Linked DNA regions of Oreochromis niloticus. The protein of the gene in region 2 interacts with the protein of the main gene of each other region in a biochemical or structural test. Links are inferred from orthologs where the notes say so. Each region holds a gene or a part of one and is shown on either strand. Other genes may lie near its edges.

Evidence for each region.
Region 1: the proteins of foxa2 (region 2) and hoxa5a form a complex in vitro, tested with the Homo sapiens proteins (2 studies listed by BioGRID). The link is inferred for Oreochromis niloticus from reciprocal best matches to the Homo sapiens genes FOXA2 and HOXA5.

What each region holds. Positions count from the first base shown.
Region 1 is NC_031985.2:25,349,304-25,356,515, reverse strand, and holds the start of hoxa5a (homeobox protein Hox-A5a), read left to right. Parts: upstream 1-4,032; 5' UTR 4,033-4,758; coding exon 4,759-5,353; intron 5,354-6,009; coding exon 6,010-6,260; 3' UTR 6,261-7,212. UniProt on the Homo sapiens protein: Sequence-specific transcription factor which is part of a developmental regulatory system that provides cells with specific positional identities on the anterior-posterior axis. Also binds to its own promoter.
Region 2 is NC_031983.2:28,013,165-28,020,570, forward strand, and holds foxa2 (forkhead box protein A2), read right to left. Parts: upstream 3,216-7,406; 5' UTR 2,873-3,215; coding exon 2,801-2,872; intron 2,132-2,800; coding exon 962-2,131; 3' UTR 533-961; downstream 1-532. UniProt on the Homo sapiens protein: Transcription factor that is involved in embryonic development, establishment of tissue-specific gene expression and regulation of gene expression in differentiated tissues.

The DNA.
Region 1 (7,212 bases), on a different chromosome or scaffold from region 2:
ATTCCTTCAACAAAAACAAAACTACCTAATATTTACCTTATAATTTTCAAAAAGTGACACGGGAATGTAATCACGAACTGAGCTGGTGATTTAATTGATGGTTTCCTGTTTTCCACCGCGGTCGTATTTTCTGAAGGGAAGGAATACAATTCATGTGCCTTATTTTGAATCGGGTAAAGGCGAATGTTTTAGTTAACTGCCTTTGATAAAATAATTACTGAGTTTCTTCTTCGCCCCCCCATCCCCCCACCCCCTTATAATTAACATGGATTTTAATCCGCCTGCTAGGGGTGAGGATTTAACTATAGACGCAAATATTTGTTTAGTTTTGCATGTAACCTACCTCAGATTCCTCACTCGCTCACTATACCGTCAGCGATTGTGCCGTAGGCTACTGTGAAGATGTAGCTTTACAGATTAGGCTTATAAATACATGTACCGTTACCCAGCTGGCAATATCCATCATTTTATAATCGGAGAAATATTCCAGTACAGTGGACAAACGCTGCTGGCTTTCAATAAAAAGTCTGCTAGGCCTGTAAGTAGTCTGTCCTGTAAATGAAGTGAACGCGCAATCATTTAATAAAAATGCTTTTACCCTCTCTATTTGGTTTCATTCCATATTTACCGTGTTTATTAAAATATCCATGCAAGAAAATGATTGTAATCGCGCCCTGGGTCGAGTAATATTGTGTTCACAGTTACCATTAAGTGACCTTCAGTGTGACCAGTATTGGGTTGCATGTAATGAGACATGTTACAGTCCATAATGGGGGTTAGGTAAACAGTGAAGTTGGGGAATGTGAGCTATGAGGATGCGAGATGGGACAGGCTGCAGATGAAGGGAAATTACTGTTGAACTCTGCTTTCCCTCCTCGCTGGGTAAGATGGCGCCTGACGCTGACCTGCCCTCCTCCCTCCCTCCTTTTTCTGTCTCTCTCTCTCCCCCCGTCCCTCTCCCTCCAGCTCTGGGCCATAAATCCGTTGTTGTTTATGAAAATTTACAACATAGCCATACAAGTTTACGACGCGGCCCGGGTTCCCATTGGCCGCAGCTTGTCACGTGGCTGGGAGCCATGAACATGAACTTTTTTTTCTCCTTTTTTATATTTAATTTTCAATTGCGGGCTAGAGGAGCCTTTCATTTAACGGTCTCGGGCTTCCACGGGAACCTTTTCACAGGCGACCTTCGTCATTTTACCATGTCTCACATGTACTTTTGGGGATTTTTTCTAAGGGGTGAGGGGTGAGATGTTAGGCAGAACCTCGACGAGCAAGGAGCTTACAGTAAGACATGCCTGGATCACTTGGGTGCCTTGGCGGGCTCCTGAAAGGTAACGGAAAGATGAGACGAAGGAACCGACCCCCATGGAGAACCAAGCTTCCGTAAGGGGTCTCAGCCGGGAGACTTTTCCCCGTCACTGCACCTGCCCACTCCCTCCAGTCACCCCCCTGTGTTTACATACAGAGACCTTCACAAGGTAAGGCAGCTTACGCTCGTCAGCCGGTGCATGTGGTTGACAATGTACTTGTTTGCATCTTCTTAAAGCAAGCAACTTACTTTATGGTTTCGCCAGCTTTGATTTTTGTTAGAGATTGAAATCCTGGAAAGGAATGGTTTCGTGTTACAGTTGATCTTTATCAGGATTCCCATCACTGATGCTTCGTGTTAAATCTGATTTATCAGATTTACAAGCTCTTATTTGATGATGATGATTATTATTAATAATATTTTAACATTTAACATTCATTTTTGCAGTGAGCTTAGTGTTGTAGGCTGTCTGGATTGTATTTGTTGGTGGATTTAAATGGGGATGTGCTTTCGGGTGGATGGATGATGGGCAAAGTATGCGCTCTTTGACGCCCTCCTGTGGAGGGAGTGGGGCTATTGTGCTTGCAGCTCTGCGTGTTTTTCTTTTCTTTTTTTTGCTGCAAATGAGAGAGGTCGACATCTGTGCATCCACGTGTTTTATTCTATGTGCCTTGTATGTGTGCATGTAGGCCTCAGCGTGATGTGCATGGGGTTAATAAACAGGATGACAACCACTAAACATTATTACACTTAAAAATGCATTTTAAAATGATCAGATATTTTAATTGTGAAATGTTTCTTTCAGTCTCTGTCCATAGATGCTGTTGTTCCCGGTGTTGCCGAACGTAAAATCATAACATTCATGTTGCTAGACTGTAATTAATATTTAATAAAATGCATCGATGCAAAAAAACATGCAATGTATCCCCCAATCAGTCTTAACAGGGTGATTTAAATGCATCAATTGCAGTGATAAATTTCCCTGTTCTATATGTCATTTCTGCATAAAGAGTATGATTTTTTTTGCTTGAACGACCGTAATTTCTTGGGGTAACACGTGGATTATAGGCCACGAACAAGAAAGTGACTTTAAATGTTTGCTCAGAAGCTACTACGAGTGTGTGAGTGTGCCTGCAAAGTCGGAGAGCACCGCCCCCCTTCCTTCACCAGTGACCATCGTACCCCCTTCACCCCTCTCTCAACCCGACAAGTCAGACACCAGCGCGCTCTCACTCTGCTCTCCTTTCTTTTCGATGCCTGTGTTTTAGTTCCTGGGTGTGTCCCTGGCTCAACTCAGAGAAGTAATTTTCGTGGGAACTTTGTTGCCATTGGCCAACCATAAATCAGCTGTTGTAGCTCGACTGTTTAGCCAACACAAACTCCGCGCATAGCTTTCCTCTCATTGTGGGCCAACACTGGGTGTGTAGGAGCCCGGTATTCACCCTTCCTAAAGTCGCGCCTTCTGGGAGTGTGTTAACGCACTCTCTCTCTCACACACACATACCTGAGACTGAATAAATCCATCCCACTGTTCCTGTCAGTCTTAACACAGGAATGGGCTTGTGCTGGGTAAATGCTCTGCTCCGGGGAAACGGCATGTGGAGGAAACCTTAGGACAAGTCACTGCCTTCGAGAGGCGAATGTGCCATAAAAATTCCACAGGGAGTAAAACAAACGGGAAGCGCCGGACTGCGCCATGCCTGTTTCACTTCTTTTAAAATTTGTGATTTCCTTCATGAATTAATTTGAAAGAAAGTCTAAAGCTGACGAACCGTTTTCAAATGGTGAATCGGTCGGGTTACAGCGTTAAACGAAGCTGGGCCAAGTGTGCTGAGGTTTATTGAGCAATGATACATGACTGCTGCAAGGAATAGCTTCTAACATATCTAAAAATAACATTATTATTTATTATCAATAATATTTTCGACGGTTTCAGTGATCGATTGCACAGCTGTGTTGAGAAATTGTTTTGGGAATTTTTTTTTAATGATCACAGTGGCAAAAATGAGGAGAAAATCTCAAGATCGCCTTTTCTCTGTCATCGTAAATACGTATGTGCTTTTTGTATTAACCCCTGGGAATATAAATATGCTGTTCAGCTTTCACCACACTCGCAAAATAATGTTAAAGTTTGATTGAGTATTCTACATTTCGGGGACTTAAAAAGCATCAACTTCACTTCTAAGCAGCAAATCCTTTCACCGTGTCATTTTTGCAATAAAGTCTATTTTTTCCACCCCTCCACTAATTCCATTAAATTCAAAAGTCATACTTAGCAAAGCCCCGGGCTTTGTAGTTTCTCAGGTTATAAAAAGAAGAAATAATCAATCTTTAGCTTATATGTAAACAAATAAAAACACGAGAAACTGCAGCTTGGCATGATTGACTGTTTAAAGGTCAATATAGCAGAGGAGTCGCCGTTAAATAAGAGCAAAATAACATCGGGTTTGGCGCAAAAGGCTTGTAATAGCTATCATCTGAGCATCTGTTCCATGGAGGGCCATAGTTATATATTTTAACCTGCTTATAAACGACATTCGTGTGTTCATATAAAGCCCATATTTATAGTTATTAATTTTTCAAAGTGGCGTAAAAAAGCAGGCCTCGGATAGCACTTTCTGTGGCTTTATTCGATAAAGTGATGTTTAGCTTTTATTCTTCCCCCAAACATTTATTCATTAGTCTTTTTTTTTTTTTTTTTTTTTTTTGCTCTTGAAGTCGTTCAGATATTTCATGATAAGGCTATATCATATGAGAGAAAACGCAGCTCTGTTGCGAATGGGCTTTTATTCTATTAAGTGCGCAGACTGTTTACACTCATAGCCCATCATAACATGCATAACGGATTCTGATCGAATTATTTCTGTACACTATCACCGCCGAGATTGCACTCTCAGCATGTCACTTGTTGTATTGTTCAGGAGCCTTTTTTCTTTTTCTTCTTCTTTTTTTTTTTTTTGCCGCAATGGTCGTTAACCTCCGAATGACCCCGTGTGCAGCCCACGTCTCGGAAAGCGCCGCAGACACGCAGTGCAACTGTTGAACCAGAGGATGGCGCACCACGACAATCCAAAACACCCAAAGCCCCGGCTCAGAGTTTGCCCTAGCCACGAGCGCAGGGAAAGCGCGCACCCCTTATATCCCACCCAGTATTTCCTGCGTGCACGAGTTTACCTCTGGAGGTCACCGAGCAGGATTTACGACTGGTCAACAAAAGCACGTGATTCTTCGCCATACCCCATATTTGGGTGCCTACGTAAGAGAGAATCAAGTCCATGTCCCACTCATTTCCATAATTCATCATAAATTGTGCAAGGGTGCTATAGGACGCGCTAAAGCATAAGAGCCACAAATCAAGAACACAGGTTATGCTATTTTACCTCTAAAAATAACCATCAAAAACAAGAGCAATACCTACAACAAGCAAACGGTGGAACTGTCAACAAATGAGCTCCTATTTTGTGAACTCATTCTGCGGTCGCTATCCCAATGGCGCGGACTTCCAGTTACATAATTATGGAGACCACAGTACGGCAAACGAGCAATATAGAGACTCAACAGCCATGCATTCCAGCAGGTATGGCTACGGCTACAACGGGATGGACCTAACAGTCGGTCGGACCAGTACCGGACACTTTGTGGGAAGCGAGCGGACACCGGGCTACTCCCCGAGTCACTCAGCGGCGACAACACCCGCGGTGGAGCCTGTCAGGTACAACCAGTCCGCAAGCAGCACCGGGAACTCGTCTCTATCGCCTCCACCTGACTCTCTACCGTGCTCCTCGGTCGCCAGCTCGTCCCCAGTGACCGAGACACAGTCTCAGCACAGAGCTGTGAAAAACTCCATAACGACCCCGTGCTCAACCCCGTGCTCAAACTCGAACGGAGCCACGCTGCTGCTCAGCCGGGACTGTGTGTCCAAAGCTTCCCCTCTGGAGGAAGAGAAGCCCGCGGGAAGTGCACCGACAACTCCTCAAAATGTAACCGACTCAACACAGCCTCAGATATACCCGTGGATGAGAAAACTACACATAAGTCACGGTAAACTGCTTTGTTTAATGACTTCGTACTGATTTTGATCTTTTGTAAAAAACAAAAAGCTGTTGTCTGACTGTTTGTTTAAAAAAAAAGAAAGAGAGAAAAGGGACGTGGGATCATCTTATTTAGGACATTTTATGAGCACAAGCCAAATTTTGGCCATTCTGGCGTTAAAGTGATAGAAAGAGCACAAATAAACGTAGTTTTGGAAAAGGGGCATGTGGCGCTATGTGCACCTCTCACCTGTTTGGTTTATATTTGGTTAGCAAGACTATCAGGTACGGGATAGTGTAGCAACAGATGCGAGGTTAGACTAGTTAAATGTATTTGACCTTTTTCTACACTTGATATTTACAAAATGTGCGTTTTAAAATGGTTTTAAATAAAAAGAGGATACTTAAAATATTTTTTGCTATTAACCCCCTTTCTATGGACTCAGTAGTAAAAGTGTGTGGTACCTTGTTACTTGTAAGTTTTAACCATTCAAGCTCTACAAGGTGCCAGTCGTGTGGCAGCGATTAAGACATTCATACCTATAATATTACCAAACACAAGATTGTAAAATTGAAAGAAACGTCTTCAAGAAAGTTGGCGCAAAAGTAAAATTATTATTTAATTCTTCTGCGTCTGATCTGTTTTCTCTTTTTTGTGTGTACAAGATTTGTCTGGGCCAGAGGGGAAGCGGGCCAGAACTGCATACACTCGGTACCAGACCCTCGAGCTGGAGAAGGAGTTCCACTTCAACCGGTACCTGACCCGCAGGCGGAGGATCGAGATAGCCCATGCCCTCTGCCTCTCAGAGAGACAGATCAAAATCTGGTTTCAGAACCGAAGGATGAAGTGGAAGAAGGACAACAAACTAAAAAGCATGAGCATGGCGGCTGCAGGCGGAGGAGCCTATAGGCCCTGATTTTTACACCTTTTAATCCTGAAAAAAGAGCACTTCAAAATAAAAAAAGCAAAACAAAGATTGTCATATCAACTTCTCCTCCTATTCCAAAAAAGCGCAGAGACTTAGCGGGCTGTGTGAGAGAAGGGACAGAGGGGAGGGTCAGCCTATCTATAAACCTTCTGTATGTCCAACAACAGTCCCTTGTATTCCTTAATATAATTTCATTTTTATCCCTACCGTGGTTATGCTTATGTGAGTAAAATGCATTATGTACAGTTCTGTCTAGATTTAGAAGATGAAAAAAGAGACATGAAAATAAATGTTTGCTTAAATTATTTCTTGTTCAGACGGGAAAAAAAACGTTAAATAAATAAAAGCTTGAAATGCTACCCGCCTAGCGCAAATAAATCCATATTTTCTGTGTGATGCACTCAACAATAACAGCTTAATAAGTAGAAGGTTGAGGTTGAGCTACATTTGTGTTTGACCTTTCTTTTCTCTGTATGTACTGTATATGTATGTATTTATTTGTTTGGTGTATTGTACCGAGTTGTCAGATAACTTGCTTCCAAAAGTAGAACCAGCAGTAAAAGCCTTGTGTGGTTATTGTATGTGTTGTGAACACACGTGGACAAAGGTGCCGACTCACCCTTGTATGTACAGTAGCTGTGCCTTGTATCTTTTTTTTTTTTTTTTTTTTTTTTTTTTTTTTGCAGGAGCTGCTTTTATTCTCTTTCTTTCCTTATTATTTTATTATTATATATATTTTTTTCTTTTTGCGTTCTTCACCTGGACGCAACATCTGAGTAAAAGCGTGTTTTAGCTGTTTTTAGGGTCCCACCGTAAATCTTATCGCAATGTGTATTATCTCCATCGTGATAAGGTTTTTTTTTCTTTCTTTTTTTTTTTTTGTAAATGTTTTTCAGAAGACTGGAAGTCAAACTATAGTATGATAATAATAATGATGTTC
Region 2 (7,406 bases):
ATTTAAATTATCCGCTAGCTATTAGCCGCTTTTTTTCTTTCAAACCTCCTTTTTCCTCACTTCAGTTTAAAAATATTATATTATAGAATGTGGCGCACTGGCTACATCTCCTTTTTTTCATATAAATATTTGAATTTGTGGTTGGGATTAATGAGCATATATGTGTGTTGTTTACATTTCCTGAATGACAAATTGGGAGCATTGTTCCCGGTTTTATCCAGCAAAGCTATTAATCCAAGCTGACTGTGCGCCTTACGTGGGTAAGAATAAATTCCAGAATTTGAATTAAATAAATAAATACATCGTGAGAAACGTATTTTATGATCCCAAACATGGATGAATGGATTCGTTTTTGTTATGATAATATAAACCAAAACTGGACTAAATTAATGCCGCCTCAAGTTGTATCTTTCTCCTGCAAATTCTCCGTTTGAAGTTCGTTTTTTGGATAAAATCTAATTTTTCCTATAATAATAATAATAATAATAATAATAATAATAATAATAATAATAAATGGTCCAACACCGTGACATTCAGAAAACAAAACCAATAACACTTTAATATAGATTCTGTTCTTGTCACTACAAGAATACACATATACAAGCCATAAATAGGAATTACACAAATGATTGAACAAATCCAGCGAGGCATTTCGAGTCATTTACGAGTCCAGTTATGCGGACGCAGGCTATTTTACAGCAAGTTGTTGTTGGTTGTCTTTGGGTCCAGTCCTGAAACCAACTTCTGAGCAGATTTCCGTCACATTATCAGTGTTTTTTAATCATTAATATCAGCATCCTCTCAAAATAATTAGGCTACTAACAAACTCGACAACTAAAACTGTGGGAAACGTCAAAAATATCTGAAATACATATTGTACACAAAGTCTATACTTTTTTCTTTTACAAATGTACAAAGTGAATGGGAAGAAAGTCCACATTACATGAGGGGATAAAAGAGTTTACGAGGAGTTCATGATTGGTCTGGAATAGACACCTTGGTAGTAAGTTGTGTCAGGTATGGATGAAGAATCCAGACCGGCTTTCCCCGCCATGGAGCCCATGGAAAGAGGTCCCGCCATGGGGGAGCCATAGCCGGAGTAATGCATCACCTGCTCGTAAGTCTTTAAGTCCATTTTGTGATGCTGCTGCTCCGAGGACATGAGGTTATTTATGGAGAAAGGGTGGTTGAAGGAGTAGTGGTGCTCCGGCTTCAGGTGGGCTTCGTGCGCAAGAACCGAGTGATGCTGAGACATGAGGTGCTGCCCCTGCGTCACCGGGCTAGCAGCGGTGTGCTCCGGGCTCAGGGCCTGGCTCGTCTTCATGTCCGACAGGGACCTTTTGTGGTCGCTGGAGGAGGAGTTGGAGAGCGGGGACTCGTTGCCGTTGCAGCTCTCTGAGCTGCTGTTGGAGGAGCCGCCGTCCCCTGACTTGCGGCCCGGTTCCTTCATCTTCTTGTCGCACTTAAAGCGTTTCTGCCTCCTCAGGTAGCAGCCGTTCTCGAACATGTTCCCGGAGTCCGGGTGCAGAGTCCAAAACGAGCCTTTCCCCGGTTTATCCGGCGACCTGGGCACTTTGACGAAACAGTCATTGAAAGACAAAGAGTGGCGAATGGAGTTCTGCCAGCGCTGCTGGTTCTGTCGGTAAAACGGGAAGAGGTCCATTATCCACTGGTAGATCTCGGCTAGTGTCAGCATCTTGCTCGGGGACTGCTGGATGGCCATGGTGATGAGAGAAATGTAGGAGTACGGGGGTTTGGCGTGCGTGTAGCTCCTGCGGTAGGTCTTTGGGTCTCTGGACCTGTTGATGTTAGACTGTCCGTATATCGGGCTCATGGCGTTCATGTTTGAGTACGACGTGAGGGCGTTCATAGACGCGGGCTGTGCGGTCATGGGACTCATGCTGGGGCTCAGGGCTGCGCTCATTGCCGTCATCCCTGCGCCCATGCCGTTCATGGCTCCGGTTCCCGGTGACATGCCGGTCATGGAGGGGCTCATGCCCGTGTTGACGTATGACATATTCATGGAGTTGGCCGTCATGTTGGCAGTGGTGCTCATGCCGGACATGCTCATGTAGGTATTCATAGAGTTCATTCCCAGGCCCGCGTTCATGTTGCCAACCGAGGTGTAACACTGTCAGTGAGGGAAAGAGGCATTCGTGAGTTTCATCTGGCATTGCAGCGAGGAATAAAGCGGCACAGTGATTTCTAAACACGGCGAATCGTTATCATTTGAGCCTGATAAAAATCGCCTTATTCATCTCCATAAATAATACTGAATATTTTAAAGCTTCCCGGTTTCGTAAGTGTGAAGTGGCATTGTAAGCGTTTGCTCTCGCGCGAAGTATTTCCTAGAAATGAAAAACAGGGGTGTGTATATTTAACAATATATTTAACGCCACTATTACAACAAAACATAAATAAATAAATAAAATTGAGGTGACTATTCCTCTTAAAATGTGCAACCTAGATGAAAATCGTACTCGGTGTGCGTGTGTCCACTGAAAAATCTGCCCGAAATCAAACGGCACACGTGTTTATTGGGTGGAAACCTGACCAACAATAACCCGATTTAGTAGAAACACGTAGAGACTTATGAAATTATAATCCGAGCGAAAAGTTTCTTCCCCTACATGTCAAGCAACTTTGTTAGGATAGTGCGCTGCGTGGAGATGGGGGAGGATTTGGAGGCGCCTCAAGTCAATATTTGATCACAAAGTTAATATTATCTCAGGGCTAATATTGAGTTGTATAAAATGGGATCGGCTTTAGACAGAAAAAAATATATATTTAAGGTACCCACCTCGGGCTCTCCGTAGTAGGTGCTCCAGTCGGTGTGTTCGTGTCCTTCCATTTTAACTGCTCCAAGCATCATGGAGGACTTTTACAAAGCGTCTCCCAGCAGAGGGAAAGCCAAAAGTCTCTCTAATAGCAGGTAACTGGGGACCACTGAGTGTATTTAGGTCGTCGGTGTGTCCCTTCGTCGAAGACTGGAGCATGTGTGTCTTATGGAGCCAGCCGTGAAATGCGTCTGTCAGTGACTGGAGTTCAAATGACGCTCCGTGCTGCTTGTTAACGCTGTGATATAGCTCTGTGCTCTAGGCAAGCCTCCAATCCCTACTTCTACGCCTTGGGCCCTATTTGAATAATCTCCTCGCACCTAGGCGTGAGACTCCTCGAGCATCCCCCCACCCCAATTGTACACCTGCGCTAACTGAAAAGAACAGTTTCATATGAAAAGCTTCATTATAAACTAATCTTATTGTATTTTGGTTGGGGCAGAAAAAGGGGGGGAGAACTATAAAAGGAATGTTTGGCGCTCTTCCTTGGTGCGCTTTTCATTACGCACATCCTCCAAAGTGCTTATTCCACTTCAGCTGAGCTCAAATCATAATCCATTTTATTGCGTTGCATTCAAGGAATTTATTGCCTAAGCCTACATATAAATTTTAACTATTTTACACCGAGAACACCAAAGAACACGAAAACGTTTAGAAATGAAGTAAAATCTCGTTTCAGCAAAAATCTCCACAGAGGAGTATTTAAGGCAGATTAAACCATTAACTGATACAGGATTAAATATTATTCTGCCATAGCTTTGTTGCTATATAAATCCAAGAACACATGTTTATGTCTTACATAAATGATAAGACACAGTTTTTAAACCTTTCTGATGTTCACCTGAAGAGGATTTCTCTTTCAGCTTTGCTTAGTCCACAGAAAAAGCAGCGAGATCCGTGTAAATGACCGCAGCTTGTTTGATACAATTGGTCATTTTAAACAATATCAAAACTTCCTACAAGCTAAAGTTTACATTTTGTCAGTACTAAAGTCCTTACCTCTTTCCCAACTAATGTAGGTGATATTTGCACAAAGGCACAGTTTAACCTGATTTCTTAACCTGGGAGACTGAATTACTGTTTCTAAATGTTTTAATTAGTGTCGAATACGCCAGGCACAGCTTCAGAGCGCCCTCTCTCGGATGCCACCTCCGACTGGCTCTACTGTCTGTGGCACATAAAGTCATTCTTTGAACTCAAACGCCCGTGAAATATTTTAAAATCAACGAAAGTTGGGCGCTTTTTCTTTAGGTTGACTCAAAAAAAGAGATGAAAAATAACCGAAATCAAGAAAAACACGGAAGTGATGACGTTACAGCCCACATTCTGATATTTAAATAGGTCATTCGAGAGTTCGCGTGGTTGTATAGGCAGACAGCTTTTCTGATTTTGTTTGTTGGGAGACCTTTTAAAGCACGAAACTCCTGTTTTTCATCAGACGTGCGGGCCTGCGTGTTGAGGGCCTCTCATTTTCGCAACCCGTACAGTATTTGTATGACACAAACATCAAGGTGAGGCTGCAGAGCGATGCCAGCCACGTGTCAGTAGTTGTACATCTATTTGACTGCATATTTACGCAAGAGCATAACTATCAGTATAGAGCCCCATTAGTAAAGGCGAGTAAACCTGTCGTGTTGACGAGGGACTAACACAGTCTGCTTAACTTGGAAATGAGATCATGAGAAAAAGCTCTGTGTGTTTGAGGATTTGGGATTGCACCGGCGGAGAGGTGGAAATGGAGAAAGCTGGAGATGGTCAAATCTGCGCTCTCCCGGCTCGACTGAGTCAACAACAATAAGTTTTGTGAAATGTTATTTTTGAAAGGGACAGTCGCTGCAAAATCACAAAACGCTTAAAACAAACAGTCATCTAATATTTGTGTATAATAGAGCCTTTATAAAGTGTTAAGGGCGGAAGATTAGGCGCGTTGAATATTTTTGGTGTGAGCTCATTATGGAGTAACTGGATTTCAAAGAAGACATTTTTCATAGATTTTAAAATATAATTTTAAAAAGGTTTTACAAATATTCTGACGCATTTCTGTTGCATAAATGTGCTAAAAAAAATCCGATCGTGAATGCTTGCATGGCCAGCCAGTATGTTTGTGTGTGTTACGCAACGATGTGGTCACGCTGAATGTGAAAAATGTTGCATATTTTCTTTTAAAAAGTATGAAAACGGGTTCAAAAAGGACCTGGAATGGTTCTGGTACCGCTAAATCCAATATATATGAGTTAAAAATATTATTTCATGATGTGCTTATTTTAAAATTACAGAAACTAAAAACCGTGAGCATTTTAAAAGGGTCCTTGACCTGTGTAACATTATGTTCCTGAATGAGACATGAAGCTAAATCCATGGTTAATCATCAACTTTCCAGAGTCCTCTCACATGAGTGAAGGTCACATTTTGGAAAAACAAAAAACTGGTGCAGGGCTTTATGCAGATGTAATTTCTATTCAGCGTATTTTGTTTTTCTTTATTATTCTTTGGTGTAGTGTTTGCATCCTCACTCCAGAACAATAACTGGCCTTTTCACAAAAAAATGTTACCTCCTCTCCACAGCAGACACTACATATCACTCTGACTCTATCTCACACTCTGTACAATTGTAACATTTTTATTTATGACCCCCTCTGACTTTGTCAGTGGAAAGAGATAACCAAAGAAATCACACGGTAAATTTGATATATGGGGCCTGACTTCAGTTTTTGGAAACGGAACAAAAAAAAAACAAGTAAAGAAAAAGTGTCAGCAAAGTGACAAAATGTGGAGAATTTCAGAAATGTGAGCTCCAAAACACAGTTTAAATGTTCCACAGAATCAGAACAAGTCCCTCCCGAATTTTAAAAGCCAGAGTAGTTAATCACTGCCTCTTTATGGTTGGTACAGAAAAGATGATTGAATCACCAAAGACTGAAAATCTTGCATTGCGTTACACTCGGCTTAAATTCAGAAGGTTAATTACACGTGCATGTATATACTTGTAAGCTGGTCTGTTAGTGAATAAAAAAATATGCCAAGTATCCATTCTTCTACCGTAATTATGTAAAACTGGACTAAAAAAAAGTAGCAATATAAAACGAAAATCTTTATCCAAAGATTTCAGAGTCTTTTTGATGTTTCACAGTCAAATTAAAGTAATGTTGTAAATCATTTTGCTTATGATTGAGGTTCAGACCAGGTAAACCTTTGGGTCAAATACAGGCAGTGTGTCCCTTTCTATTTAACCTCTGGTTTATTCCATTGACACCAGCTTTAAAATACGCACTTCAATAGTTCACTTCAACACACTGAGCAGGGAATCTAATGGCCTGATGGTCATTGCTGCAATATGTACAAACCGCTGCCACGTTTCTTGGCAGTTTTTCTGTTCCCAGCTGAAGCTTTCACAATCCCGCATGCACTGAAAATGAGGCCAGGACTGCATTGACTTGTTCTCATGAGATTGAGTCAGAACACAGCTCAGTGTGTTATTATAAAATTTATATATTTCCATTGAAAATTTCCTTGTGGCACCTGAACCAGCAGTGTAGCCCTCTTTCTCCTCCAGTTAGATTTGCCACACTCTGGATTAATTAGCCTTTAGGATGATGGGTGTTACATTTCACACATTTAGGTGTCATTCCTTTATTGGTTATGATAAGGGAATCCACTAAGTGGTGAAAATGTAATGACTGAGTTAAAGAGGTGAAAGCAAAGCACACACGTGGCCCCAAAATGACACCAGGAAGTTTTCTTGGGTGCAGGGCAGGGGGATGGAAACGGATAGATCTCTGCTCGGTGAGAGGAAGGTGGAACATTCCTTCAAACACCCAGGAGCTGTTGGCAGTTATGTGCTAGCTTTAAGTTCCAACTTTCAAAGTAAGGATTTTTTTCTCAACTGAAATTAAAAGCTCTGCTGAAGAATGCACCTTTTTGTGCCTTTCTACCCTCCTGAGTACACCGAGCCACACAAAACAGCACAGGGCAAAGGGTTAAGCATGTAATTCATCAAAATAAAATTAATAACAAGAGAGTCTTCCTCTTGGAAAGTGCTGGAAAAAAAAATGTTTGCGGCCAACTTGCCTGTGGTGACAGTAAACATTCCAGAGCCGGGCTGGAGTTTGGACCTGCCATTATCTGCCACAGCTGTGACAACGCCTGTTGGCTGCAGGTTTGTGGCTGGCCACACTGTGTTTACCTGGAAATGAATCTGAAAAGCGGCCGGACTGGGAAGGCACACAACCTAGCTAAATAAAAACTGAGAGTGGCCATTGCAACGAGATGCAGTGGGAGGCAGTCCAAAGTTATTGCACTGGCCCCAGTGGGTCAGGGCGCAAACACAGGCGTAAACGCAGTAAGGCTATCCTCAAACACGCACCTTTTGATATTGAGAGGAATGCAGCGAGGAATGCCATTCGATATGTTTTATGTTGACTGTATCCAAGGCATTGTAGATGCAATACTTTCCTCTTGTCATGTTAGAAAAAGAACCTGTGTTTACCGCCGGCCTTCATCTGTCAAACAAGGTGACAGTTTATCTATTGGACCACAGGAGTAGAATGAGGAAGATGAAATCCTGAGAGA